4 linked regions of the Lytechinus pictus genome follow. The protein of the gene in region 1 interacts with the protein of each later gene in a pairwise test. Links are inferred from orthologs where the notes say so. Each region holds a gene or a part of one and is shown in the gene's direction. Other genes may lie near its edges. The genes, in order: intersectin-1-like; epidermal growth factor receptor kinase substrate 8-like protein 2; ATP-dependent RNA helicase SUPV3L1, mitochondrial-like; dynamin-1-like.

Evidence for each region.
Region 2: the proteins of intersectin-1-like (region 1) and epidermal growth factor receptor kinase substrate 8-like protein 2 interact in a two-hybrid assay, tested with the Caenorhabditis elegans proteins (2 studies listed by BioGRID). The link is inferred for Lytechinus pictus from reciprocal best matches to the Caenorhabditis elegans genes itsn-1 and eps-8.
Region 3: the proteins of intersectin-1-like (region 1) and ATP-dependent RNA helicase SUPV3L1, mitochondrial-like interact in a two-hybrid assay, tested with the Caenorhabditis elegans proteins (2 studies listed by BioGRID). The link is inferred for Lytechinus pictus from reciprocal best matches to the Caenorhabditis elegans genes itsn-1 and C08F8.2.
Region 4: the proteins of intersectin-1-like (region 1) and dynamin-1-like interact in a two-hybrid assay, tested with the Caenorhabditis elegans proteins (2 studies listed by BioGRID). The link is inferred for Lytechinus pictus from reciprocal best matches to the Caenorhabditis elegans genes itsn-1 and dyn-1.

What each region holds. Positions count from the first base shown.
Region 1 is NC_087248.1:26,508,976-26,516,993, forward strand, and holds the start of intersectin-1-like, read left to right. Parts: upstream 1-4,938; 5' UTR 4,939-5,115; intron 5,116-8,018. Other genes in the region: quinone oxidoreductase-like protein 1, read right to left, coding at 4,494-4,568.
Region 2 is NC_087250.1:9,625,725-9,632,863, forward strand, and holds the start of epidermal growth factor receptor kinase substrate 8-like protein 2, read left to right. Parts: upstream 1-4,121; 5' UTR 4,122-4,701; intron 4,702-5,943; 5' UTR 5,944-5,997; coding exon 5,998-6,074; intron 6,075-7,139.
Region 3 is NC_087256.1:1,236,986-1,244,433, reverse strand, and holds the start of ATP-dependent RNA helicase SUPV3L1, mitochondrial-like, read left to right. Parts: upstream 1-4,409; 5' UTR 4,410-4,681; coding exon 4,682-5,060; intron 5,061-5,699; coding exon 5,700-5,777; intron 5,778-6,770; coding exon 6,771-6,993; intron 6,994-7,448. UniProt on the Caenorhabditis elegans protein: ATPase and DNA/RNA helicase able to unwind DNA/DNA, DNA/RNA and RNA/RNA duplexes in the 5'-3' direction.
Region 4 is NC_087259.1:16,671,942-16,680,061, forward strand, and holds the start of dynamin-1-like, read left to right. Parts: upstream 1-4,916; 5' UTR 4,917-5,001; coding exon 5,002-5,165; intron 5,166-8,120.

The sequences.
Region 1 (8,018 bases):
AGGTATCACACAGGAAGCTGCTCTACAAATTGGAGTATTATGGCATTACTGGTCAAATGCATGGATGGATCAAAGCTTTTCTATCAGGCAGATCTCAGTCAGTTCATGTTGATGGAACATCCTCACCACGAGCCAGTGTACTCTCAGGCGTGCCGCAAGGCTCAGTACTCGGGCCTGTGTTATTCCTGTTGTACATCAATGACATCTGTGAATGCATCTCATCACCAATCAGACTCTTTGCTGATGACTGTGTGCTGTATCGCAAGGTCAAGACAAGAGCTGACCACGCCATTCTCCAGCGAGATCTTTCAACATTATCAGATTGGGCAAAACTGTGGGATATGTCCTTCAATGTCAAGAAGTGTGCCCACATGTGTATCTCATTGAAACGACAACCCTTGGCTTGCAACTTTACCATCAGTGACCAACCTGTTCCAACGGCAACCTCCTGTAAATACCTCGGTGTGACCATCACAGACAACCTGAGTTGGAACTCCCATGCACAGAAGATATCCTCCAAAGCTGCTCGTACTCTTGGAATCATACGTCGAGCATTGGGTAAATGTGACCTGAAAGTGAGAGACATTGCATACAAGCAACTTGTCAGACCACAACTTGAGTATGCTTCATGTGCATGGAATCCTCACATACAGAAAGATGTACAAACATTATTGAGAACATTCAGCGTCAGGGTGCTAGGTTTGTCCTTCATGACTATAGCAGAGAATCCAGTGTAACATCGATGTTGTCAACTCTTCACTGGGATACTCTCCAACACAGACGCATTCTTAGCCAATGTGAGATGTTCTACAAAATTCATCACAATTATGTTTACATCAACATGCCACATCAGATTAAGTTAAGCAGCAGTTCTCGTCCACAACGTTCACAACACACTGGACATCAGCTCAAGTACACCCAGCCTTTTTGTAGAGTGAACTGCTACATGTACAGTATGTTCCCAAGAACCATCCGTATTTGGAATACTCTCCCAAACGCTGCTGTAACTTCGACCTCTATACCTGGCTTCCGGGGAGCAACATTGCCTATCATTCAGCAAATGTTGCCTCCCCCTCCCCTTAAGATGCTGTAAGAGGGACACACACGCACCACCCGCACACTGCACCTAGCACACTGTATATAGTGCACCAAGAATACCACCACAGGATCACCACATCACCTGAAGCACTGGCAGCACCTGACATAGCACAACCCTCTCCAGGACAGCGTGTACGCTTTTGGGAGAGTACTTCTTCAAGGTTCAAGGTTATAGAGGAGATCCGAAAAATAGCGAACTAGTTTGCTACAATTCCCCCTGGTGTATATATCGAGGAGATCCGAAAAATAGCGAACTAGTTCGCTACAATTTCCCGTAGTATTTATATAGAGATCTGGAAATAGCGAACTAGTTCGCTACAATTCCCCCTCGTGTACATATCTAGGAGATCCGAAAAATAGCGAACTAGTTCGCTACAATTTCCAGTTGTATGTATATAGAGATCTGGAAAATAGCGAACTAGTTCGCTACAATTTCCTGTCGTTTGTATATAGAGGAGATCTGGAAAATAGCGAACTAGTTCGCTACAATGCCCCTTCGTATATATATAGAGGAGATCCGAAAAATAGCGAACTAGTTCGCTACAATTTCCAGTTGTATGTATATAGAGATCTGGAAAATAGCGAACTAGTTCGCTACAATTTCCTGTCGTTTGTATATAGAGGAGATCTGGAAAATAGCGAACTAGTTCGCTACAATGCCCCTTCGTATATATATAGAGGAGATCCGAAAAATAGCGAACTAGTTCGCTACAATTTCCTGTCGTTTGTATATAGAGGAGATCTGGAAAATAGCGAACTAGTTCGCTACAATGCCCCTTCGTATATATATAGAGGAGATCCGAAAAATAGCGAACTAGTTTGCTACAATTCCCCCTGGTGTATATATCGAGGAGATCCGAAAAATAGCGAACTAGTTCGCTACAATTTCCCGTAGTATTTATATAGAGATCTGGAAATAGCTACAATTCCCCCTCGTGTACATATCTAGGAGATCCGAAAAATAGCGAACTAGTTCGCTACAATTTCCAGTCGTATGTATATAGAGATCTGGAAAATAGCAAACTAGTTCGCTACAATTTCCAGTCGTATGTATATAGAGATCTGGAAAATAGCGAACTAGTTCGCTACAATTTCCCGTCGTTTGTATATAAAGGAGATCTGGAAAATAGCGAACTAGTTCGCTACAATTCCCCCTGGTATATATATATATAGAGGAGATCTGGATTTGACAATTTGACACGTCGTATATTATAGACTAATACAAGGAGATGGCTACAAATTTCGACGCTTATATATAAGCGTTGAAGATCGCTATATTTGCCATCTTATTATTTCCCATATATTATTGATCATAAATCAGTATTTCATGGTCTGTTATTTATTTTGTGTACAACTTATAGGTCTGGGTCTGCTGAAAAATAGGCTGGCAATTTAGTGAATCTTGCAAAAAAAAACTTAGGCATATTGACTCACTGAACTGTGCGATCTCGATTCTCTGCCTTTTTCAGTCAACAATGAGTATTAATCCAAATAGTGAGTTTGGTTTTTCTTCCATGCCACAGACTTTGCCACTTCTTAATTTTATCCAAAATATTTCAAAATATTTTTAAAATATAGAAATATCAAAACATTAAAGTTATTCCCTTCATTCCTTTTCTTCAAACATATAGTTTTATTTTATAGTCAACCTACGACGCTACGCTTGCCTCCTCTTCAAACTTAAATTTGCCTCTTTATAAAAAGGCAAATTTACTGGATACTGTACAGGATATATAAATGTAAATTCCCGATCAAGATATTCATGGTTTTATATGGAATTAATTTTGATATTATAAGCGACTGAAAACATAAATTTGTGGCTAATATGTCAAAACATTATCTGTCCCACGTGCAAACTATGTCCCAGTGATGACTTGTGAGAGAGTGAGCTCTGATCATCATCATGCTGGTCTTGTGTATCGTTCGATTTCGCATCCAGGTGGGTGTTTCATCAAAGTTGTCAGCCCTGACTAAATTGTCAGTGCTGACCATTTTAGTGAAAGCCTCGCTTTTGATTGGCTGAGAAGCTCCCGCCTCTGACTGTTACTGTGGTTACTGTTGGGGAAAGAAACTTTTTAGTGCTGACAACTTTCATGAAACACCCTGGCACCTAAAGTGCATTAAAAATCAGCGAAGCAGGTAACCTTTTCAATTATTCAGAAATTTGTGAGCAGGATAATTTAGTTGTGTCCATGCATGCAGTGTCAAGCCTCTGACTGTTACTATGGTTACTGTAGGAGAAAGACAACTTTTTAGTGCTGCCAACTTTCATGAAACACCCACCTAGGCTAAAGAAGTGCATTAATTAAAAATCAGCGAAGAAGGTAACCTTTTCAATTATTCAGAAATTTGTGAGCAGGATAATTTAGTTGTGTCCATGCAGTGTCATGATTAGACCATGGAGCTATTTAAGCTTCATGATTAGACCAAAAGCTTCGGTCTGTTGGCTGTTCCACTGAACTCCGTTGGCTCCACTCACCAAATACAGAGACCAAAGTTCTAGCTCGATCTGTACAGGGACTCAATGGCCATATGTTTATGTATTAAGTTCGGATAAAACAGGGAAGTGAAGTTGCGCAACAGCCGAAGTAAGTCACTGTTTTTTCCCCTTTTAAGTTTAGTTTTCCCCGTTTTGGTGCATTTCAGGCCAAAACACGTAAACGGATACTTGGTATGATGTTCCTCCGAAATACTCCAAGTCCAAGTCCAAGAAGAGTTTATTAAACTGGAGTGGAGGTGTATACAGTTCTCCTTGTAATTTGTATATTTATGAAATAAAGACAAAAATTGATGAGCCCCATTGGGGGGATTTTGCATTGTTTACCCCCTACTATGGTGGCTGCACGATAGCGAGCCGTCTGTGTACGAGGAGAAATTTATTATTTAAAAAAATGTTAAAAAACTCCTCGAAACAGACAGCTGGCAGATGTCTACGTCATGATTTGCATTTGAATTTAAATTAATCACTCCATCCTTTTTATTTTACCAGTTACAGTCAGTATAACAACTAACATTATTAGTTAAAAAAGAACTTCAAAACAATGTCTTTGTCAATGCTCCTTCACTCCTTCCCTACCAGCTCTTTGACTTTCTCCCTCCAACCCTCAGTCACCCCTCCCTCCCTCACTCACTCACTCAGCTATGTCCTGGACCGCCTCGGCCCCGGCTGCGCCCTTGGCCTTGCCGCGGCGGCTGCCGCGCCGCCGGCGCGGCGAGCAAAGGCAGAGCATGCATGCCAAGTCCCATGACACGTTGAGTGCAGGGCGCGGAAGCCAAAGGCACGCACACACATAACTTAGTAGTACTTACACGGATGCAATCATCATCAAAATCAAATCAAAGTTCCCATAGTTCGATTCAAATTCTGTCTTAACTTACAGATTCACGTCACTCACCTCATTCCCAAGTAAAAGTTCTTTTTTTATGAGCGGACCGTCTGATCTTACTGACCAATAGACGAATTTCATCATGAATATTCACTTCTGGCTTTCTGCTTGAATTGACCGAAAGTCCAGTAACTTAACGTAAGCAGACGATATATGTCAAAGGTCATAATTGTGATTATTTACTGCTGTTACATGGATTTCTATTGGTTCGTATAGAAGGGGCGTGCTAACGTTAGAACTTTTATTGAAGACTGATTTGCTTGTTTTCTTGATGTTTTATAAATCGAATAATATATTTCATTGTGCAATGTGTGTATCAGATGATTCAATTACAGAATTGCCAAGTCTGTAGCTAGTATCATTCATTCCGTGTCTACTCTGAAACTTGTAATAATTCCACATTCTCAGAAAATTGACCAATCAAACTTGCGCTTTCTATAAAGGTGGGTGGGTTACATTTCCTCTAAGTTAGGTTCTACATGTAGCAAGATGGGCGAGTCCACTTTCTGTCTCCGGATCGAACCGAGCTGAGTTGATTAACTTCTTTTTTTACTAGAATCCCCCTTCGTTCACCCTTTTCAAAGGACCTCTGTCATTTATTAAACATTTCATCAATATTAGAGTATTACTGGTGAGTATGATTTCCAAATCGATGTGCTGCCAGCCTGCCACTGCACTCGTTGATGTGACCTGCGTGAGTGGGGACGGATGTGTGACTGTCTGTGAGCGGTGAGCACTGCCACCACTGAGTGACATGACTGAGCTGATGAGGCCTTTCCTTGGCTTTATTATTGGGCTGTGTCCTGTGACCACACTGGCCTGAGCCTGAGGCTGTGGTGCACTAGTGTGACTGTGGAGTGTGGGCAGTGTATAGGCTATCATTGAATCAAATAAATATCATGTCTGTTTCCGTAGTACAAATGTTGAATATTAATAATAATGTCATGATAAAAAAATAGAATTGAAAAAAATATGCCGGATGCCGGAGTCATCATGTAAATTGTAATGTGTGCCCAAAAATATATATATTGACACTTCAAAAAAACTCCAAAGCATAGATCTAATTCCATAAAAAATTAATAATATGACCAAAAGTAACAAAAATGCAATTACTGAATCATATAAAAGCCATGTTAATTCCGTAGTACAAATGTTGAATATTAACATGATTAATGTCATAGAAAATAGAATTGAAAAAATTATGGTAAACGGAAATTATTTACTTACTACCAGAAGCTTGTTTTTTGCCAAAAATCGGACGCAGTTTCCAATTATCGGACGTGTAGAGTTGTGCGCCGCTGCCGCGATCAATTTTGGCAATTTAAATCGCGCTCTAGACTCCAAAATAATTGCTCAATTGTTGATAAAATAATTTTAGCTGCGCAATGCCGATTTTAATAAGGTATTTCTATCAATGATTTTGATATAGAAATCGGTAAATAATAATTTACTTACCAAATGGACCTCTTTCGGCTCTAAACATCGGACGTCTTCGCTCAGCTGGGCGCGACTTTGTTCTGAAAATGAGCGCGCGTGCGTTAACAGCTCACGCATTTCCAATTCAATCGGCCGATATGTCCGATGTTTGGGATCGTGCCATACAATGTATTTCCTGCCATGGGGAACCCTGCAGCGGCCATTGCAGATTTTTTTTTGCGATAGATCGAACATGGGTGCGGTCTCGGCGGTGATATTTCCGGCGAAAATCACTTTCCCCTTAAGAGATTCTTCTGGAGTCCATAATTAGCGAGGGTCATAAGAATCTTTGCCACTTTGGAAGTCAAAATCATGGATTTTACCCCTGGAATATTTGTTTGAGCAGCAACCTGGATCTACTGTGTGTGCAGTTCAATAGTAGGTATGTTCATGTATCTCAATGCATGCAAGTCCCCCGCCAGTGCAGGTCCCTGTAGTTGTGGGGAGGATCGAGTTGACGTCATTTCCGTCCGATATTTGGAATCGTCCGATGTTTGGGGGTTTTACTCTAGACAGATTTAAAATTGATATGCTCCGCGGTATCCCATCTGTTAATAAGCCAGTTCACGGTTAGCTCATGATCAACTTTTCTCAAATGACCTTTGTGATTTTTCATTAGGATAAGCACTATCATTTTCAAATGTAGATGTTGCGTAAGCTTTACCAGTAGTAGAGTACGGTATTCAAATTCTAAGAGCAAAAGGCATTGTATAGACCAGGTGACTAGAATAGAACATCAGGGATAAAGTTTGGAAATCTGTTTATTGTCTGCCTTTGGCACATTTGACTATTGTTTAGGCTACTGTCAAATACCAGTGATTATGAAGGCTCTATTTATTACTCTTCATCTTGGATGTGATAAAATGAATATTTTGAAAGGAATACATGAATAATCATCAAATCACAAATGCCTATGTCAGTGAATTTGAAAGCCATGTTCCTTTTAATAGGCAAATTGCACAAATCATAAATTTTCAATTTTTGTAGGAATGCCATAGCAGATAGCAATATGTTAAGTTAAGAAAGAAATAAGAAAAATTATGTCTGACCTGATAAACCAAAACTTCACACATGGATCATTTGTTTTTTGTTTTTGTTGTCAATTATGTTCTGTGATGAAAAATAATAATATTTGATTTGGTCTACATGTATGGTGGAAGAAAATATTGCTCATTATTTTTCAAATATTGAATGAATTATTCTTTGTTCAATTAAAAATAATGATAAATGATGTCATGATGTACATGTACATGTAAAGGGTTTTGTTATTTTTTTTTAAAATAGATAAAGCAAGTAGTAATCAATGCTATTGCCACTAAAATCAGGGGGAAAAAATGCAAACCAAATCAATCAATAAATGTTCTTGTACGTACATTTGATTTCTAAGATAAATGCCTCTGTGGTAACAATTTCAAAATGGGTTCATACCATCCAAGTGTATCTTTGCACTGAAAAAGATACTGTGTCATAAAATTCAGCAAGAAATTGTGTCATTGCTGAAAAATAGGAAAATAAGCTTGTGATTCCAGTCAAATATCAGGGGCCCGTTTCTCAACACCGTCATAAGTCTAACTTCTTGACTAAATCGAAGATGGTGAGCTACTTGTCCGCTTACCGTTTCACGACGCCCTCTGCCAAGATCGGGGACAACAACCTGACTAAATATTATTTTATGACAACTCTGAACCTGTCATAACTTCTTTCTTAATGACATAGTGGCTTCACGTGGGTAGACTATGACATGCGAAAGTGCCTCGAAATTTGAAAATTATAATCTTACGTAATCATTAATAGAAGTTGAAATTACATTGAAAAACTTGTGTGATAGATCATTCAATAATAATTGTAATGCACAGTAACTATAAAAACTGTTGGTAAAATGCAACAAAACCATTCATTTTTTAATAAAATAATGGAATCGATAAAGATTTTACCACGTCAGGTTATCCATAACTGGACTCGTATTCGTCGTTTTCAGACACTTATCAACATTTTTGATAAATTCTATCTCTAATTTATGCAAAGAATTCGTCAAATCGTGTGTTTAGGTATGTAAAA
Region 2 (7,139 bases), on another chromosome or scaffold:
AATCATCCTGTTGGAATGTCAAGAATGTTGCTGAAATCGTAATATTTATGAAATATTTTCACCACAACAATACTCCTATGGATACACGAAGACATATTTTCTCAGTCAAGCATGTAATGGTTTTTTTCCCTGGCATTGTGTTATTCCAGCTGAAATGTTAAGCTGTTGTTAAGGACCGATCACTTTGAATGAAAAGAGGGATAGGAAGTAGTATTTGGTTTTAAGATAATTATTGTGGTAAAGTTATTAACTTTAAATAGTGCAATAGCTATCTTGTGAGAGGTCCTGTGTGCCAAAAAACGCTTGAAGGTAAAAGAAGATACTTCCAGCAAAAAAATATTTCATGAGAAAATATTTTAAATCAAGATTAATTGTCATCATTCTTTTACCATACATATCTACATCTGGCACATTAATGTACACTTACTTTTGAGAAATCATGAAATATTAGCTAAAAACCGATAATTCTGATGATCACTAATACAGGAAAGTGTATGTGTGACAGTGTATAAATATTGCTTGGAAAATTACCCAACATTTGATGGAATTCCATTCTTATTTTACTCATTTCTCATCAATTTCACATTTTTTTCAAGAGCCTTTTGCCACATATTTTTTAATTTATACACTGTTTACAAACACTTTGTTGGTAATTTTATTGGATTCTGTTTTGAGATCGTACCACAACTGGTATTTATCTTTAAGACATTTTTTTCAGAAGTTGCGAAGTTTTTCTTTATAGAATGACACTTCACTGAGACCCGTCAAAACACAATTATTGCAGATATTTGAAATATGTACCACATCCTCTATTCATATTTAACCATTTGTTTGGCATGTCATTTCACTCCAACATTATTAACAATGCTCTTCATTATGCATTCAAGCTCACAATCTGCAAGAAATGGGTAATATGCCAGTCGCCACGGCAACTGGTAAAGATCAACACCCAGGAAATTGACCTAATGAATTGCGCAAAAATTGCTTGGCAAATACAACAAGAATGAAGCTCGATTATGGCGAGATGAACTGGCCTTCTGTATTGAAATGACACACAAAGCTGTTTGGATTTGGACTATCTATAGAAATTGCAATAAAGGCAAACAATTTTTTGGCATACATAGAATTCCTGGACTATTCTCTACATTGAAATGGAAAGGAGAGGGGCTTATCAAGGGGAAGTACAGCGATGGCACTGCTTCGGGGCATATCAACAGGTCTGTAGGGGGCTAGATGGGGGCAGGGGATGGTGGATGGGACCCCCTTTTTTTACTCGATTGTCATCAGAATTTCTATTTCAGCCACTCTATAGATCCCAAATGTGACAAACTCTTTTTTAAAAATCATTCTGCTCTGGAATATTTGCACCAGGAGCCTGACCAAAAGCAGACCTGCCAACCAGTACGTTTTGGGCGTATTTAGTACGTTTTTGCAACCAAAATACGGCAGTACAAACATCGTAATTTATTGAGGAAAATCATCTCTTTATGTATGTCTCTATTTCATAAAACTTACACAAATATGGTTGTAAGATCAATGTAATTTCAGGTAATTTGGTCCTTTTTTTTTCAATCATTTTGTTAAAACCAGGGTGAGATTTACACATTGTTTAAATGTTTTTTTTTTTCATCTGCAAGAGCAGTGCGCATTTTAGCTTGCATGCAGCTTGAGCGCCGCGATGAGCGAGCACGCCACACATTTTATTATGAAATACACTTTTTTGGGGAAAAATACACTTTTTTTAATCACATAATACACTTTTTCATTACCAGAGGTTGGCAGGTCTGCAAAAGACCCATCCGCTTCCATTCCTGCTGGAATCCTGCAAGGTTTGTTTTTGCACTAATTCTAGCATCTATCATACTAGACAAAGCAACGGGGTATGTCACAGGAAAAGTGCTGCAAAAGACGCTTACCCCCTTCCCGAATGGGATTCCCGGTAAAGGACTTATGGTATTCCCCCACCCACACTCGCATACACACACTTATGTGTGCCACAGCAGAGAAAGAAATTAGAGTTGGTAGTTCAATAACTTTTTAGGTTTCATTTGAAACTTTGAAAGAGCCCCTAGATCTTTTTATGGAGATTAAGGGATGGCCAGGCATGATTGTCTTCTGGAAGCCTTTCTATCGACCACTGAGGGTCAGTTCCTTAAAATCTTCCATAATAAAAAATTTTCACTAAAAGCCAAGCTACTGTCATAACTCATTTTCATTTGCTGAAGAGTAAATTTGTTATAGAAATTGTGGATTTGTGATATTAAAGGTAAATTCCAGTTCTGGTAACGATCTCAAAATGACTTTTTACGGAATCTAATATAATGACCACCCAAGTGTCTGTTTGTATGAATAAAAAATATGTGCCAAAGGATTCTGGAAGAAATTGTGTAATTGCTGAGAAATAAGCAAAATAAGCGCGGATTCGGTCACTTCCGTCGGGTCTTTATTCCAGCAATAATAATACACTGTCCCACGTGTGCCTATCTGTGTTGGCGATCTTCAGTGTGATCGTATTTCAGCTTAGATTTTATGATTTCACAAAGTTCAGTTTATGTAACTGTACCATATCTAGATCCACGATGATATAGTCATCCTTAACCTTGGTTTTACAGACTTTCTCACGAAATTAGTGTTTTACTGCAACTACTGTAATTTAGCTTTAAAGTATTTATGCAACAGATATGACCCAGATCCATATTGTATACATGCCTAGAGGCTGATCCTAGAAACAATATCTTCAATTTATTGTACATCGTACATGTAGTCAATGTAATTGTTTCTAGAAAAATGTTACAGTCCGTTGCTGTGATTTGTGTTCGGGATCTCAGGTTCCAGTACACTTCTTTTGCGTATTACAATTGATTATTCATATTCACACCTCTGTATCATTAGCCGACCCATCCAATCTCCTTGTTTTTATTCCAAGATTTAAAACAAAACCCCCCCCCAAAAAAAAAAAAATAACTAAAGAATTGAAAATGATCAACTGGGTGAGATCCCCTGAATGTGTGCCCAACCCAGAGCCTCCCTACATGGTTTCATGAACAATTCTTTGAAAAATAGAGAAACGCAACCTTGTCATTTTATACAAAAGCGCTTTATGAATTGTTATGAAATTCCTTGACACGGTGCATTGGTTATTCCATAATACACCCATGGATGAACCAGTGCTTAGGAATGGCAAAGCGTATTAATAGCCATATTGTGAAGGATCCCATGTGACCTATTGCTGTTTAGAAGTATGATTTGGGTCTGTTCATACTTTTTAGTGAATCGTAATAATAACGATAATAATCATAGGTCCAAATAGGGCACACATGACTACTTCAGACCCCCATTCAAAATCACTGCTCATAAAAAATCATTAAAAAATCAATCCCTCGATTGATTTCATTTTAAATCACTGACATTAATCATGAGCTTGTGTTAATTTAGTACCGTACTTATAATTGATATTGACAATTTTGGGCAATCATTTGAATTAAAACAATCATTGCATTCTGGCAAGTAAATACTACGCAATCATTATTGCAATTTGAAGTCATTTGATGTTGTCAATCATTGTTTTTCATTTCAGTTTGGAATCCCTGTATTGGCAATCATTGTGTTTTAAAGTCATTTGATGTTGGCAATCATTGTTTTCAATTCCAATTTGGAATCCCTGTATTGGCAATCATTGTGTTTTGTACATGTAGGATTTGTTTGCCAAATATTGGCAATCATTGCATGTTTTCACCCATTTGATTTGGAAATCAAATTGCCAGTCATTTTCAAATATTTGCAATCATGAGTAATCTTTTGGGCAACCATTTGAATCAATACTGTCATTGATTTTGGCAGTCATAATGTAGGCAAAAAGTTGATACAGGCACAGGCAATGATTTCATTTAGGCAATCATTTCACAAATGCAATCATCACATTTTCATGTATGCCATCATTACAGATTTACATATCCTTCCGGATGTGGACGACATGCCATGCAATCAAAGTTTATTGTGGGAACACACCCTCACCATTGTGTTCTTTTAGAAAACGTCCTATTGAAACGTCATAGTCCAAGGTTCATTGGTCTTCTTTAGATATGGGGCGGTAAGAATATGGGCAAAGAACCAGAACTATTATATGCCCATTGCATTGATAGGTGTGTACATGGTCTTGTGCTGACTGCATTTGTGTATTATTATTACCTCCTAGAATAAAGTCATCAAGTCCTCCTGTGCGCTTCAAGTGAAATGCAGTAAATTGGATATTTTGGAATACCTTGCTACATTGTAGTTTCGGGGTTTGGAGAAAGAAATACAACAAAGATATAGACGTGTTTGTTCTGGTTTAATTTTGGATTTAGCCAGTCCCGCAGCCAAGTTGGTTTTAACTTTTTTAGTGCGGATTGCTGCTACATACCTTTGCTAGTTTCAGAAGTTGGACAAAACAATACTACGGAGATGTGGATGTGCTAGTGTCGGTTTAAGTTTGGATTTAATGATTTAGCCGAAGCAGGACATGGTTATAAAAACCTACTAGTTTCACTGCAGATTGATGCTTCATACAGTTGCAAGTAGTTTCAGGATACCACCGACTCTGGATATAGTTCCTGTTTAATTTGGATTTAATCATTAACCAAAGTGGCTGCAAAATACTTCTGTTTTGACTGCGGATTTTTCTTTGCCGACTTTAGTCCCACTTGGAAGTGACAGATGAAGGTATTGGGCTACTCCACTGTTAACCCTTCGACTGCTGGATTCTGTAATTCTCATAGGCTTTATACAGGGATCGCCCAGATCCAGTAGGCTACTGGATAATAAGATATAGGGGTTCAAAGCTACATGCAAAAATGCCTTACCAGAAAAAAAATTAACCAGAATTGTATGACCCCCCCCCTCCCACCCTGTGTGAGATACATTTGTACACCTTTTACTTCTATCTTTGATATCATGAAAACAACATTCTTCTCAGTTTGATCAATAACCGATACCAAACACATTTGTTTTTGCAGGGGGGGGGGGCAGGGGGAGGATGGGGGCGGAAGAGCTTGGGAATGAGAGAGCGGGAGTATCTTGGTTTTTATTTTACTCGTAAATTCTGTATTGGCTCACATACTGTACATCATTAATTGTTTTTATTCTATGTTATTGTTTACATTCAGTTGCTTTGCAATGCAATTCAACATCTATGTCTACAGATAATACTTGCCCTTTGGAATGTACAGGTACAATTTTATCATCTCTGATAACTTTTCATGTGTGTTTGCTTTTCAGTTCAGGACTACCTTTGATACTTACAGTACTATTTATCACTTGTGAACTATTTATGATAGTTGTTATTGCTGATACAATTTACAATTTTTTATATAGAATTCAACTCTGGATAATGCAGAATTCAATTCAATTCAGCATTTATTTCCATATTCATTAAAATGAACAAAATGAGAACAAAATTATACATACACAAAGGAGATATAAATAACATAAAACAAAGCATACATGTAGGTATCAACAGAACATAACTGAAACAAATAGTGGTGATGATAAAATTATGGTTGTCACATAATTATAAAAACATAGATGAACAAAATAATTGGGCATGCACAAAAAACAATAAAAAGGCTTGTTAAAATGCACATACCCAAGAATTGCATCCCCTCACAATAAAATACCATCATTCACAGGGTTCCCACAGTCATGGAAAATCCTGGAAAGATTTGTGGTCATGGAAAGTCAGGGAAGTTTGAAAATTTGTGAAAGGAGTTGTAGAGCAGGAGCCGGCGAGAAAACCCAACTTTCAGGCAGGTTGACTGGCTGTCTTTAGGAGTATGTACCTCTATTCACTTTTCTTAGTCATTTCTATGACTTTCCACGTGATGTACCAAAGACCACTTTCGACATTTTTTGTTAGTCGTCTACTAGTCAACCTTTTTTTATTTCATATTCATATCATTTCCTCAGGTGGTTGATGAATCTTAGAATTTGAGATCGAGAGACACCGTAACGAAACCCACGATGCCGATTCCGACAGGAAGACAGAACCCGTACGTCCAGGAGTCCCCCTACGGACATCATGGGGGCCACCATCCACAGTGAGTATTCGTTTTCGTCGTTATGATTTGTGAATGTTCAGTTTGTCATTGCAATCCATAATACCCCCCCCTCCAAAAAAAATATATATATATAATAATTAAATAATAATAATAGTGATAATTATTATTATTATAATAATAAATAAAAAAATTATAATAGTATGATAAATATATAAATAAATTTATGAATAAATGAATAAAATAAATAAATATTAATAATAGAAATATAACATATAAATGATTGAAAAATAACTAAATAAATGAATGATTGAATAAACAAGTGAATATATGCAAATATGTACATCAGTGTAATAAAAGTAAATAAACAAAGGAAAATAAATGTATTGCTTTCATGAATCACTTTTTATTGATAAAAAGGGAAATCATTAAAATAAATGATCACTGAGTATTATACATGTAGTGCATCTGAATTTGTTTTCTGTGCGTGTATTCAAATCAACTTTTGTTTGGATTATGCCAGGGCCTCGTTGCATAAAAGTTACTATTATAGTAAATGTGCTTTCGAATGGTATCTTTCATGGAATCCTTGATTCTGATTGGCTGTCTAGCCTTATTACCATACCATCATGGTAGTGCCATTATGGTAAGTGCCATTATGGTAACTTTTATGCATTGGGGCCCAGATGGTATTCGTAACCCGTATGATAAGTTAGCAAATGACAGTACTCAGCATGGTGTAAATCATGTGACATACATGGAATATCAAAGTAACCTCAGACTGGATCTACAGTACACATATTAAGCCTTAATCTGATAGAATAATAATAATCCAAACATCTATGTAGCACTTTTTACGAAAATATCTCTGAGCGTTAAAGAGAATAGATAAAAAGAGAAGGAATTCCATCAATTAATTACAGTTTGCAAATTATGTGAGGAAACTGAGGAATGATGTTCGTAGTATTGAGATTGATGGTGATTTTTTAAAATTTTTTTCGTTAGAATGTATTGGACACATTAGGTTGGATTGTTGAAATTTATGATGCATGTTTGTGTCTGAAGGGGGCTTGAATTGTGGTTGAATTTTCTACTGGTAGTGAAAGT
Region 3 (7,448 bases), on another chromosome or scaffold:
CAAGTTTGATTATGACGTAAAAATAGCTGATCGACAATCTTTGTTATGGTTGTTGTTTTTATACTGAAAAGGCATTAGAAGATCCATGCCTTTAGATTGGTTGCCGGACGACTGTACGGGCATGCGCGTTGTTAACTCTCAGCTCAGCGATCGAGATCGTAGACATGCAAAATCAACAGCTGATTTTCATATTAAATGCCGCTTACCACCAAAATGTAAGTATTATGAGGAAGTTATCTGATAAGATACTACTTATTTTTGAAACTGATGAAGTAATTATATTCATACTTCAAGTTTCATCGGGTAATCTTGATATTACATCTGGTTGTTGTCATTTTATTTTCAGCCGAATTAAATGTATTCAATGATTAAAAACTTGACATCGATGTCTATGGATGGGACCGAAATGAGATTATCGTCGACGCGCAGACGACCGCAGTGGTTGAGACAAATTTTCAATTTCTTGCATTTTGTGATATATCTAAAAATAGTGGATGTACAATACAATTCGACTCATCCAACAATGAATAAGTTTTTAATGTAATTTCATTTCAAATAATCGATTAAGATAGCGAAAATCGGTAGTTCAAACCCCAGACTTTGGATTTTCGAACCCTGTTTGCCATCGTCAACAAGGACCGTAGCAGACAACATATGCTCTACTGAGCATGCTCAGAACCGTGGTTTAAAATAAAACCATGGTTTAAACCATGGTTTTATTTTAAACCATGGACTAAAGAAACCATCGTTGGTGAAACAGAGAGGGGGTTTAAACCCCCTCGGGGTTTAAACCGTGGACTAAAAAACCCAGGAGGGGGTTTAAACCCCCTCGGGGTTTAAACCTCCTTTGTGAATTCGGGCCAAAAAGTCAAGAGTTAGGCCTAGATATTAAAAACAAAAAATCATAAAAATTCAACTTGAAATGTTTTTTAACTAGTCTGTCATTAGGTTTTAATTTCAAGAATGAAAACTTCTTATCTTATTTCAACACATTAACATCAAACAAGCACTTCACAGTTTTCTTTTATTATTTTTTGTGCATTCAGGAACAGCATTTACATAGAATGAAATCAGATTGACGTGGACACGCCCATCAGCCCCTCATCAAATCTATACATCAGACTTTGTCTCCCTATCCTGACAGTGGTTGTACTCACTGTGAACTGTGGTGTTCCAAATCCTCATCAGATATGCCGGACAACAAGAACCAATTCAAGGAGGTGCTCCCGAAACAAGGACTTGTCTATCAGGAGGAGCAACCAACCTTGGTCCTTTGCAAACCAAAACTTCTTCCACTGAAGTCAGTGACACTAGAGAAGATGGAGAAGATGCAGAAAGATGCACAGGACAAGGTCCAGGAGCAGGAGATGGCAGAGAGGTTACAGCAGTCTCAAGGAATGAGTGGATTCTGAGATCAATGGACATTGCCTTAGCAGGAGTCATGGGGATGGAGAGCGCCCCACCCCCATAAAAACTGTTCCACTGCAATACTTTTTCTAGAAAAATGCACTGTAATTTTTAACTCATTTTGTTAATTACCATGTTGCATGGTCTAACCACCACATCACTGTATTCATGAGTTGAAACAATTATGAGTCTGTGGTCATTGAAACAATCAACTTCTGATATCAGTACATATCCATCATTAGCAAGTAGAAATTAATAAAAAATATTTACCTGACCAATTGTAAAAAGCACAGATAAAATACAGCAAAGAAACATATACAGTTGTAGACTTGTAGCAACTACAAATGTGCTAGATAAGTAGAGAATTGTGTTTATATGACAATGCATTACAAAAATGCAAACAGCAGGTGGTTCACTTCCAATGCATGTTGAATCTGTATGCAGCAGAAGGTTCTTGAAAGTAAAACAAAATTATGAGACGGGAACAAGTACAATTATTTTCTGTTCTTAGTGATTGTTTCTTTTGTCCAGTTGCTCAAAACAGCGTTGTTAGATAATGTGTGGTCATTGAAACATAGACCATTCAAATAATGATAAGGTTTATGATCTTTGATATATTTTCAAGAATCCTTCCCTTTTTCTGATACACCCAGTAGTAGAGCATATTGATTTAAAACAGATATATAATGACTTGATGGATGATGCCTATATCCTTTACTTTATGCAGTTTATTTGCTATTCTTTTTAAAACTTGTCCTGAAGTTTGAATGTCAATATGACATTTTATTTTGTTTTCCTATGCATTTGCCAGTGAAATATTTTCAGCTTTGAATTGTAGTTTTACCTGGGGTATCTTCGATGAAACTACTCCATAATACATAGAAAAAAAGTGAAGTAGAGCTGCTTCATTTTTTCCCCTTTAAATTTGTAAACCACATTCATTTTTTGTTAGTCTCATGTTCATGCTGTAATTTCAGGATTGCAATTGTGCAACAAGGAGAGAAATTCAAAAAATAAGAAGAAGGTCTTATTTTAATTTCATTCTGTAGAGTACTTTAAGTTAGCCTGCCATTATTTTCAGAAATATCCAGTCAATATTGATTTTAAAATATAGTATTATTTTGCTAATCCTTTTTATTTGTTTTTCAAAGCATCTTCGGTTCTTGATTTCCATTCTAAAAAAATGTATACTGTTAAGTTAAACTTGTCAGTGTCATTATGTATGGAAGTTACAGGGCATTGAAAACAACATCAAGTTGATTTACATTGTAAGTAGATAGTGAAAAATCAAACAGGCATAATGCTTGCAATTTCGTCAAAATCAGTTAAAGTTTTGCTTGATTTTACAATATGTATATCAGGGGTGGAATACAAATAAGGAACAGTTGCTGTCTCGCATTAAGTGCATTTATTTCTTATAATGAAATATATTATTTTTCATGTGTTTCCTTCTTATATTTGTAAACCATGATTTGACTTTGACTCTATGGCTTGAACATGTTAAATGCCCCAGACTTAAATAATCAAGGGGGGGGGGCAAGCAGGCCTCCCCCAATCCATATTTTTCATTGTATGGAAAATGCTCTCTGTGAGTGATGATCATGTTGGGTTTTTTTTCCTCAAAACAGAAGGGGGGAATTGCCCCACCCCTGGTAATAATAATGATAATAATAATAGCGGTATATTTACCCAGGGTAGCCGCTTCAGTTCCGAAAACTGTTCTCCCAGCGGGCCCTGCTATTAAATTCTGGATCTGTCCATTCAATGACCTTTAATGTAACTTCTACAAATCATTCAAATGTTGTTTTTTTTGTGATCAAATCTACAAAACCTGAAATGGTCTGTATATCATTTAATAACTTAAAAACAAAATATTGAAAGTGTGACATCATCAACTCTCATTTATTTCACCTTTTAATCAATTCAAGCTGAATGGAATTGAGTTTGAGATTTCAGGTGCAGTAAACATATATGATTGTGTTACAAAAAATTTCCCTCTTATATTTGTAGATAATAATGTATGGTTTTAAGTGAGCAGTAATGTAGCTTATTTATTTATTTATTTGTTCTCTTCTGGGAACTAATGAAGATGTGAATTAGATGATAGTGTGAAAAGAAAATGATCAAGAATACAACATTTGAAGTGTTTAGCATGATTCTTTTTTTATTGCTTGAAAGTACCTGAAAAGGGGGTTGAAATGGTGAGGAAACCATCAGTGGAAAAGACACAGTGCAAATATTCATACTAGTAACTAAATGATAAGCACTGCATAAACAAAATAAAACAAAACGATACAATAACTGAGTGAGTTCAATTGTGTGTAGTATGCACTCATGCCACTTCTTACAACCAAGGAATTACACACAAACTTCACATTTCACGTAAGTGTATGAGGGGGAGGGAGGAAGAGAGAAGAGAGAGAGAGCATGAGAACGAACAAGGGAAAGAGAGAGATGTTAATAAAAGCAAAGAGAAAGTCGTGTTGCCTCTAAAGGAGGGGGGGGGGGTTCACCATAGCATAATGTTGGCTTTAATAAAAGCAAAATTTCATGTGATTTCATGAAAACGCATTAAAGAACAAATTGAGAAATATTCTAATTTTATTTTGTGATGTCACATGCTGGCAGCTCTCTGATTGTTGTGAGATATAAATTCCTTAAAAAGCAAAATTCTAAAAAAATTGAAAATTATTTTACCTGTTCTTTTAATATGCTATCAGACACAGATCCTTGCAATGAAAATATTTTCAATCATTTCAATATATAAAAATATAAAATTTATGGAGATTATACAAATATTCGCATATGGTATCACAAAAGTTCATGTCTCCAAAGTTATTTTTTGATAGATTTCTGTCAAACTTTCATTGAGTGTGTTTCTCTTATTTTTCTGCAACTTGATGTCAGAATGGAAGTGGGAATTCCCCTTCAATTTATTCACCATGCATTTCATTCTAAAATAAAACATTATGTTTGATATATTAAAAGTGCTAGGAAAGTGCAAACAAGGCAAAATGAAAATATGTTTTGTGTGCATGTAAATGTTGCTCTGAAATGAATGAAATAACTGCTCCAGAAGGGCAGAAACGCCCCACCCCCTCTCAAAAAAAGTTGTGGTGATTAAGATGGCCCTCTACGTTACAAACTTGTTAACAACATGTGTAACCTTAAATATTCCCGAGTGGAAATAAGTTCGGAGGAACTCAATTGAAATAGCAATTGGAGCAGGTATTTCATTTTTCCTTGATGTCAAATAGTATATATTTGTTTTATAATGTCTAGTAAATATGGTCGGCCATATTCCATTGTCAGGACATTTCGTTGTTTTTCTTGTGCACAACGAACACTTCCAGCAGTACCACGAACGATTTTAAACAGAACGTTGGACTCTCACCATGCCGCAACTCCGGGGTCAGGGATCCACTCCGTCCGTCGTCGATCATTTTTATTCGCGGCGAATTCGGGAGGAGCTTGTCGGGAGAGCGGGCGACCGGCGTTAACAACTTCTTCATCTGGGATCTGTCGGAGTTTTTCAGACAAGGATGACAAGAATGTTAGAGCATTGTTTATTCCTGTTCCTGTAAAACCTGCTAATAATCCAGATGACATAAACATCGGTGAAGAGCTTGGTGCAAATTTGAAGAACAAGAAAGGTATGAAAATCATGTTGAAAATAACTTGAGTATGTTAACAGGCCTGCCTATCGCCTATGCTTGTTATTTATATTTTCTACTTTAGGGGTCTATAGGCTTATTTCTAAATTATCATGATTATGATGTAATGCAATGTGGTGGCTATAAGGCTATATTTCTTGTAAGGAAAATGAAATAGAATGTAGTCACAAACATCTCAGATTCATTATTAATGAACGATCGATTGTGAATGTTTTGAAATTGTTTTTTTTGGTACTAACGGCTTAGATTTATTATACATTTCATAATGATCTCCCGTTCTCCAAAAAGAAACATAAAAGGACGCATTTTCTCAACCTCGTCGGAAAGGAAAATGAAAATTAATAGATGTCACGACGATCTCAAATTAATTGCACAATCTATCAGGAAATGTTTTAAAGTTACTTTGACTTTGAGACTGTTTAAATATTGCGCCAAGAGGTATTTCAAATTGCCACCGATCATACCGATACACGTATGATCGGCGTGAAACAGCCGATCAGCCTTGATTAGATCGTTATTGGCTGCCGATCCGAAGATCAGGTATGATCTAAATCAGTGATTTTTTATCCATGCATATTAATTTTATATTTGTTCTTTTATTTTTCAATTTCTTTACAGATGAATTGATGAAGATTCTCACAAAGTTTTCAAAAAGGCCAACTATCCAGAGGCTTGCCGAAGAAGAAGGATTAGATGGTAAGATGATCTCTTACGAATGGTCATATGTAGGCACAGCAGTGACAGCACCATGTATTGTAGTGGCACTTACAGAGGCACAACTGTCCTTACTATTTCTTAAGATGAAGGAAATAGAAGTGTATTGGTAACAAGAATGCTTGGACGTGCTACTGATATGAATTTGTTTCATCATTGTTTCATCATGAACCCCCCCCCAAAAAAAAAAAAATAAATAAAAAATACCCTGGAGCTGTCCTTCACCAAGTGGATAAATGTCTTTGGAAATGGCACTTGACTCCTGTCTGGATCATTGTAAATTATTTTCAGTCTTTGAGTCAATAGTCCTCTGGGAAGACGTTGATCTACATTACCTCCTTGTGCTTACCCAGCACAAATCAGCATAGTTTATTAGGGCCCGTATTCTCAAGTCGGGTTAAATCTAGAGTAAACTCTGGTTTAAAGTTGTGGATAAACTATGAATGACCAAGAGTGCAATAAATCTCAAACAGTATAATTTCAATGTATCAGCTCATTGTTCTCTCAAATCATTTTTAACAGTTTTGGAAGGATAAATAAATTTTGGGCTTTCCATAATTTTAGCACAGAGTTAAACCATGGTTGAAGTTAAACGTGGCTTCAGAATACAGGCCTAAGTGTTTGAGATACCATGGTGCTTTGAAATTACTCCCAAGTGAGTTACATATGTGCATTCATTGCGGGTAAGTTTCATTCTGGTCACCATTTCATTAAGCTTAGTCAGCACTGACAACTTGTCAATCTCTGATAGTTACTATAGTAACAATCAGATCAATGCTTCTTAGTCACTGGAAACCTGGATTTCACTAAAATTGTCACTGCTGATAATTTAGTCAGTTCTGAAAACTTTCATGACACACCCCTGATGATTAGGAAAATATGAAAAATGCTTTGATAAAGATGTACACAAAAGAGAAAAGAAAGAATGAAGAGCTTGATGTCCTGCTTATCTCATGTCTTGGTATCCTTTCTCAGATAACCTCTTTCATCAAAGTTTCATGAGCTTCAGGAAATACATCACAGAGGTGGAGTCTGTGGAGCCTGATCTGCATATTATTCTTAGTGACATTCTGGTAGGGGCGGGGCATATAGATGACATCTTTCCATACTTCATACGCCATGCCCGCCAGATCTTTCCTGCCCTGGATTGCATGGACGATCTGAAAAAGATCAGTGACCTCACAGACCCAGCCCAATGGTAAGTGTTGATCTGCATTTGCACCATTTTGTACCAGGATAGTATCCTGTGGGCAATAATTCAGAAAAACAATCAAAGATATACAAAAGATCTGTAATGTCGGAGTGGAGAGTTTACCAAACTTATCAACTACCAGTATTTAAAATAATCTTTAAGAAATGATGAAAAAGCTGCCATTTAAGATTGTAAATCATTTGAGATTAGCATGAAACAATGAAATTTTGAATGTTTACAAAGTTTAGGAGTCAAAAGTTCAGGAATGAAATGGAAAAGAGAGAGAGAGAGATATATATATATATTTGTAACTATACCTACATAGAATGTAGTATGGAATAGCTGAAGAAAAATAGAGAATATTAATGTTGTAACCCGCAAGTGAAAACCCGAACCGTACCGTCCCGTACAATCCATTAATTTGCAAGCGGGACCCGTTGACCCGTCCGGTTTTAACCCGC
Region 4 (8,120 bases), on another chromosome or scaffold:
AGAGCATTTGACAATACATTTTCTATGTTCTTGAATCCGTTGTTCATGGTGGAACTACGGACGCAGGAACCCGTTACTGCCAGACTATCGCAGTCACATGCACCAAAGAAACCGACTTCAAACCGACCCATGGTATGAAAGTCGTAACAAAGTATCTAGCCGTGATCGTTCTGAAGTCAGTTTGATTAGTATGACTGCAACCTGGCCTATGAACTTGATATCGATGACATCTCAACAAGTCCAAGGGTGGGAGGGTGTATGTTTTTTTTTGGTTAATTCAGTTTCATCTGATTCCACTGCTTCGCTGTAGATTAATTTTATGTTATATTTTGTATTTTTAGACTAGGTATTTACCTAGTTCTTTTTTGGGCAATATTCTTTCAGATAATGTGTTATGTATATGTTTTTTAACTAAATGATTAATTCAATAAAAAAAAATATTATTACGAGCTTGTATAAATATGTCGAAATACTATATGATTTTTGTGCAATTTTCTGTATGATGAATAATTATTTGACTTTTGTGAACAGTGCTTTTGTTGAGAATGTCATTTTGTTAACATTTTGCAATTTAGTATTACTTGTATGATTTTGAACTGAATGATTTTAATAAATACTATTGCAAAACAAAAAAAACCTGTTTCAATCATAACCATGATGATGCAAGCGTAATTAAGACAGGCCTAGGTCCACTGGGGTATACAGGTGGTGGTATATATGTCAAAATCTGTCGCAAAATTAGATTTCTGGATATAAAAAAGTGTCAAATTTTTTACCATTAATATTCAGGAGCAGTCCTGCCATTATTATAAAAACCTTTTATTTTGTAAAGTTATGATATTTTGAATAATTGTAGAGTGTTCCTATTTAAAAAAAAACACAAAAAACTTGTGTTTAAAATTTAAGTGACAGCGTTCGTGTGGATCGTGTTCGAATCGGGGTTTTACGATATTTAATGCTTCTCTGGACTTGAGAAGGTACTAATTTGTTGATGGACAGCTCACACGTGTTTTCAGGCGTAGAAAGCAGTAATATGGAAAATTCGAAATGTTGTCTAATGGTTAATGGCCTTTCCAAAATCTGTCTGTTGTGTCTTAAAAATATTTTCAGTCAGCGCGCCAGCCAACCCCGTTCTTTATAAATTTTGATAAAGGCATTTAGATTACCTGGTGATAATGAATTAGATCAGAAATCATGTGTAGAAATACATTTATGTAGATCTATATGTATAGGCGTCATAAATTAAATCAGTATTGGGTTCGAATCCCACCGCTGCCACCATTTGTAAGACTTGGTTGTGCATAGGACTGCTGCAGCTTCTGTTCGTTTGGATTAGCCAGTAGTTAACTGGAGTGTTTAAGAAATACAAACATGTTACATAATTAGTTTTGAATTTATTTTGTATTGATCCATATTATATTTATGCATGATATTCAGTACAATTATAAATTTACTTAGCTACACTCTTAAAAATGTTGGGCAACGTACTGTCCACATAATAATTGGTTAAAACTTTATCCAATTCTGGGCAGTTTTAGACCAATATTGTGTGGTTTGGGTGAAAACTACACAGTATTGGTTGAAAACAAAAACTACCCAGAGTTGGATACATTTTTAACCAGTTGTTGTGTGAACAGTATGTTACCCAACATTTTAAGAGTGTATATAGCTAGAATATGTAATAGGCCTAGATTGAATATTTATTCACTCACGAAATGTCTCTCATTGCATGCTGAAACTAAAAACGATGACAATACTTTTTGAGGTTTTCATGTAGCAAAAATCTTTAAATGATGTTTCTATCATTTAGGGTTAATTATTCGTAGGGGCCAATCCCCCCCCCCCCGGTGTATAGGAACACCAAAGCTATAAACAAAAATGAAGCCATTGTCAATATATGTACAATTTTTATAACTATTTTGAAACTATTTTGGTATGTTTTTTGTTTCTGTATGTGATTGTTTCGCATTTTCATGAAATATCTGAAATCGCTTAAAGTTTAAACCCCTGATTCATCGGTGATAAAGCCATATTCTTCGTCAGAGAATTACAGCCGTAAAAGTCCGATTTCTGTCATAAATAACGGGCGTGAATAAGATTGATTGATCATAAGAAGTAAAAGGCACAAGAAATGGCCGTATTGACCCAAAATCCGGAGTCATTTTGAGAGGTGGAGCGTGAGGAAATCTTGAAAAGGTGTCGGCACTTTACAGGTTCCAGCTTGGGGTATGTTGATTATCCCATTCGGGTCAAAGGTCACCACTAAATTGTTTGATAAATCATCGAAAGTTGTCTCGTGAAAAGTACGAAGTGAGAGTCAATGGACAAGTTTCAGACCATTGACTTGGTATATAGGACTATTGAAAATTGGAGTATAAAAATTATTGTGTATAATTTGTACCATGACGTATATATTTATATTTACCGTGTGATTTAAAAAAAACTTGACACCTCACAAATTCACAATTCAAGGAAAAATATGTCATGAAGACATAATTATTATATATGGCGAGAAAGAGTATCTTCTCTCAAACAATTTGATACCATATATATATGGTATGTCTTCACACTTGGATAATCAGTAAATACTATTTGCAATAATGTAAATATTGATTTGCGCCAAAGTAAGGCATGACTGCAATGAATGAATCCATTGCAGATGTATATGTCATAACCCTACAAGGGTTTGCATTAATCTCAATTGCAAAACACATTTTCAATAATTAACATACTAATTGTTCAATAAACACTTTGTAGTATCAAGTTTCATGTTAATTTCATTGAAAGGGGAGATTTGCAGATATGTGTACTACATAATAATGCAAGAATATATACTTATATAAGATTATGACACCAATGACATCTGGGTTCATCCTTTGCAGCCATGCCTTACTTTGGCGCAAATCGAACTTTACATCACAGTAAAAAAAAACAAAAAAATCCTGATTACCCAAGCGTTAACAAATATCACATAAATATGGTATTTAATTATTTGGGAGAAGATACTCCTTCAGGCCATGTATAATAATGTTCGTGTCATATTTTACCCTTAAATTGGGGATTTGTGAGTTGGATTTTTTTTTACCCACACGGTATATGGGACTGGGCATGCTGGGTGTCAACCGCAATATATTTCTAAAAGTGTATAAAATAATGAGAAGGAGACAGAGAGAGAGAGAGAGCACCCAGATAATTTGAATGAATAAAGAATAAGCAGGCATGGACGCATGGTACAAATAATAATTTCATCTTAATTTTTTATACAGTATATGGTGTAAAAGCTTTAAGTTTTATCATGATCATCATCGTCATCAACATCATCATCGTCATCGTCATCACCATCATCATCATCATCAACGTCATCATCATCATTGTCATCATCATCATCCTCATCATCTTCCTCATCATCATCGTTGTCGTCATCGTTGTCATCATCATCATCACCATCACCACCACCACCAGCACCATTATTGTCATCACAATTCTTTATGAGTTAATATATGCATTAAAGGAATCTGAATCTCCATAATAATGCCATCATAGATACGTGAAACTTGAACGACCTTTTCTTTTATATGGGCTAGCGCCATCACTCGGTTTCTCTTAGCATTTCATTCCATTTCATTTGTTACGTTTTCAAATTGTTTTTTTTATACATCTTGATATACAAATTAAAAGCAATATAGCAGATTTCTAAGTAAAAAAAATAGTCAAGATTATAATACAAACGTTATTTATCAATGCAGCAATTTAAAATAATCTTTTCAAACATAAGAATTTCTGCCTTTAAGATATCTTTAAGATATAAGGTAAACACAATTAAATGGTCTTGTACTGAATAAGTCACGGTTTTTAATAAAACCAGGGACCGATGCTCAAGGTGATAGACAGCTGCTTGTGAGAGGAAAGATTCTCCCTCAAGTTACTGGAGGCAAGTTTTTTGTTTGAAAGTTTTTTTTTAATTGATTCTTTCAGTGACATTTACAAACAGCCGTGAAATGCAAACATAAACTGACAAATAACTTCCTAAATAATACACCAAGTTACCAGCAAAATAAGTTATTCATGAACATATACATAAATCTGTTAATCAATTAAACTGGTCCATTCATTTTCATAATTAGAGATTCGAAAAAAAAATACATTACCCCCCCCCCCCTCGCCTTCTTTAGTATAGCAGCCTGCACCGAAGTGGTGTGAGGAGAATCCCTTAATTTAACAAGCTCAGGTACAGGTGGCAAGGGGTGACTATTATAGTATTCCATTGTGGGACCAACATAAACCCTGCATGTGTTTTGGGAGCGTACTTACATGGTGTTCTGTTACTGTAATTAAAGTAACATTGTAAAGTGGGGCAGAGCCAAATACAATATATACAATCAGAAGAATATGAATATGACACCCATCAGGCGCAACCCCTGATTAAAATATCTAAAGGTCGACAATACGCTTACCTAGTTATGATTTATGTTCAAATAAGATTTTTTTAAAGGCAAATAACCCCCCCCCCCCCCCCAAATAAAAAAATGAGGAGAATTCCCATGATAGGGCAGGTGTATCACACTTCGAACTTTAATTTAGTGATTTCTTTCAGATATCAGGAAGCATGGAATTCACAATGCAACAACAAGGATATGAAACAAACGATTATTTCGCTTTCTATTTTAAGGGTTTCCATTCCTTGAGTGGAATGTGATTTCCTGGTAAGGATTTTTGTTTTGGGGCGAAGGAGGATGACACATAATGAATGACGTCATTGTAAACTTGCCTAATAGCAAATAGGTAGTAAAAGAAATCTGAATAGTGGAGCCAGAAGTTGTTGAATTCGTTGCTTATATGATCGCTGTGTATCGTAGCGTTCGTTTAGAACGTAAAATAAAAGGGTGCGCGAGTAAATTTGATACGGTTTACGTGCGCATGCGCGTGAAGGGGGGAGTCGGCCATCATAGGATTTTAATTTTGCAATAACATTTATGCGAAAAGAAAAATAAACTCGCAATCATGGCTGGGAATAAGGGAATGGAAGATCTTATTCCAGTTGTTAATCGACTGCAAGATGCATTTTCTGCCATTGGAGTAGGAGGTCTGCTGGATTTGCCACAAATTGCCGTCGTTGGCGGTCAGAGTGCAGGAAAAAGCAGTGTCCTCGAAAATTTTGTCGGGAGGTGAGTCGAGTGTAAATGAGCGCTGAGCTCTGTGCATTTGTGTTGGAAAAAACCGGCTCTCAATCTCACTCAATCAATAACTAATTGTGGTCTTTTATAGCACATCTTTTTCAATATAATCGCTTTAAATTCAATTTTCTGATTCTTAGGAATATGATATTAAACTATATTTTAGTTATTTACAATATATGAGGATCATATTAGCAAAAATGTAAAGGTATTGCTTTTAGGTCCAGAGCGGAAGCCGATCTCCTGCGGCTTAGACCCTGGTGGTGATTAGACGTAGCCCGATCGACCCGGCCCGAGCTACGCTGTTGATCCGCTCTGCACTGTAGACTGTGACTGTTCTGGCTTTGTGTGATCGACTGTGATTGCATTGTGGAATGGGTCGATCGAGCCGGGCTGAAATTGATGTATCTTTTCTTGTATCTTTTATCTTATCTTGATTCTTTAATCTTGCTCTTGGAAAGATGCTCGCAGATGTTTTAAAATAAAAAAATTGTTGCTTTTGGAGTTTTGACTTTTTGTTAGGGCCTATCTCTGAGCTGTTACCTGTGTTACTTGAGCATTAAAAAAAGATGTTTATCACTGGAAAAAATGCAAATTTTTAGGTTAACCTATTTTATAGATCAACTGTGTCTCTGGCCCGGGGGGGGGGGGGGTACTCAACCAAAAAAGTGGTGGGTATGTGCCGCGGGCGAGACAAAAACGGGGGCCTTGGAGCGGACTTATTGTAAAAAGGAGGGTCCTCGGAACTACAAATGTTTGTGAAAACGGGGGTCCTTGGAACGGGTCGCCTGCGTGTGCATCCCTATGGAGCGGGCATACGTGTATGCAGCTAACCCAGCGGCACGGGCACCGGGTGCGCTCGCGCAGAGGCGATGGTCGGACAGCACTCTGCGGCCGCTTTTCACCAAAATTGCAGTTCATTGTGGCGGATCAATGCGACCGGAACGGCGTAACGAAAAATATGCAAAGCTTTGGAGCGGATTTCTTTCTTTTCTCTCGATAAGAAGAAAATGCTATGCTTCGGAGCGGCTTTCTTAGTTCTTTTTCTCAATAAGATGAAAATGCTATGCCCTGGAACGGAAATTTGAGTGTAAAAATGGGGGTCCCCTTCGCGGCACATACCCATTATGCATTATATACTAAGTGCCCCCCCCCCCCCCGGGTCTCTGGTAAACTTTCAGTGCATTTTTGACATGAGGTGTATGAAAGGGGGCCCCGTGTCTGGGTATCTAAGAATTTAACTTAAGATTAAACATGAATTCTTTATTCAACAAAAATTGTCAGTTGATAACATACATACACTGTAACATTCCTATATTCTTATAAGTAAGTGTCAGAGTTGAGCTCAATTATGAAATTAATTACCTTTTTATGAGTAAATTGTAATCTTTGAAACTTGAGAAGAGTAATCCCTTTCAGCAGCTTCAAAGCTATCCCAGGATGAAAACGTTCTGTGTATCAGTGCGAGGTGCCATGTTGAAGTAATTTTAAATTTCACTTACATACATGTACCTGTATGTACATTAAAAGTGAGTGTGCACTGTGCAAATAAAAACTACCTCTTGGTTTACAGCAAGAGACCCAACAGGAGGCTGCTTAACTTTGTAATTCAAATTTTTGAAGGGAAAGTAATTATAATTGCAAAAAATTGTAATTGACTTCAATTTCTATGAATTAATTTTTTATTATGATGGGGGACCTAAAGCTACGCACATTGTTTACAAACGATAAAAACTATGCCAGTTTTAATATTTGAACAAATTATCTTTCACTAATTTGTGTATAATATTCTAAAGAAGAAAATATCACAAAACTCACTGATACGAAAATCCTGCCATGCCATGTTTTCCAAACACCTTGATTTTGCTGCCCGATGTACATAAGGGGTCCTTAATTTATCATGCAAAGAAATTCCTGTGCCTCAATTTCTAAAATATGCTATACATACATGTAACTTTAGGAAAATGTGAAATTAAAGTGAATATTACTCCCAAATTCCAAACAGTTGCTGGTTTTCTCCGCATTTAGTTATTTTGCAGCCTCTGTAGAAAAATTGAATAGGAATCATTTGTCTTCTGCAGTCGTACTTCACACGCACAGAGTGCCCATTTTGCCATTGAAATTACATGCGCGACGAGTGTTGCATAGCTTTAGGACCCCCTACCATTCATTGAATTACGGGTACTCTACAAAAAACTTGATTAATTTACTACATGTATGTTATAAATTTACTCTGGATTGCTCAATTTCTCTTTTCCCTACTGTAGTACTCTCTTGCATATCTGTATCCTTTCCCATGACGTGGAGAAAAGAGGGGCCGATTGCACGAAAGGGTCTTTCCAAGGACCGTCTTTCGTGTCGCCCATCTTTTATGATGCGCTATAAAGCGGGGTGTTTCTGAAATTTATGATAAACAAATAAAATTCGTAAGCTTGCTTTTAAATCAAATTTTATACAATTTCATGAGATATCACATCATTTTATAAACAAATATTTTGTTTATTTTAACGGACAAATAAAATATATTTGCAGATAATTTATTTGAAATGCGTTTCACATGGCGTATCATAAAAGATGGGCGACACGAAAGACGGTCCTTGGAAAGACCCTTTCGTGCAATCGGCCCATGGAGACACCATATGATACACGTAGGGATAAGAATGCTACTAATATATTAAAATCAAACTACACGTAGGCCAATATGTAATTATTCATACATGTACTAGCAAAAATTACATTTTTTGTAATCCCATGCAGTGTTAACAAACTTCACAAAATCTATAAATATTATGTACAACTTTTCCAAATGAGGATAACCTGGCAAAGAATAAATATGCAGCCTGAACTCATAATTTTGAAAAATTCACAAAAGTTTGCGTAAATGAACATTACTCTGCAAGTACACTGTAGACGTAGGCTCATGCGCTTTGTACATGTATGAAATCT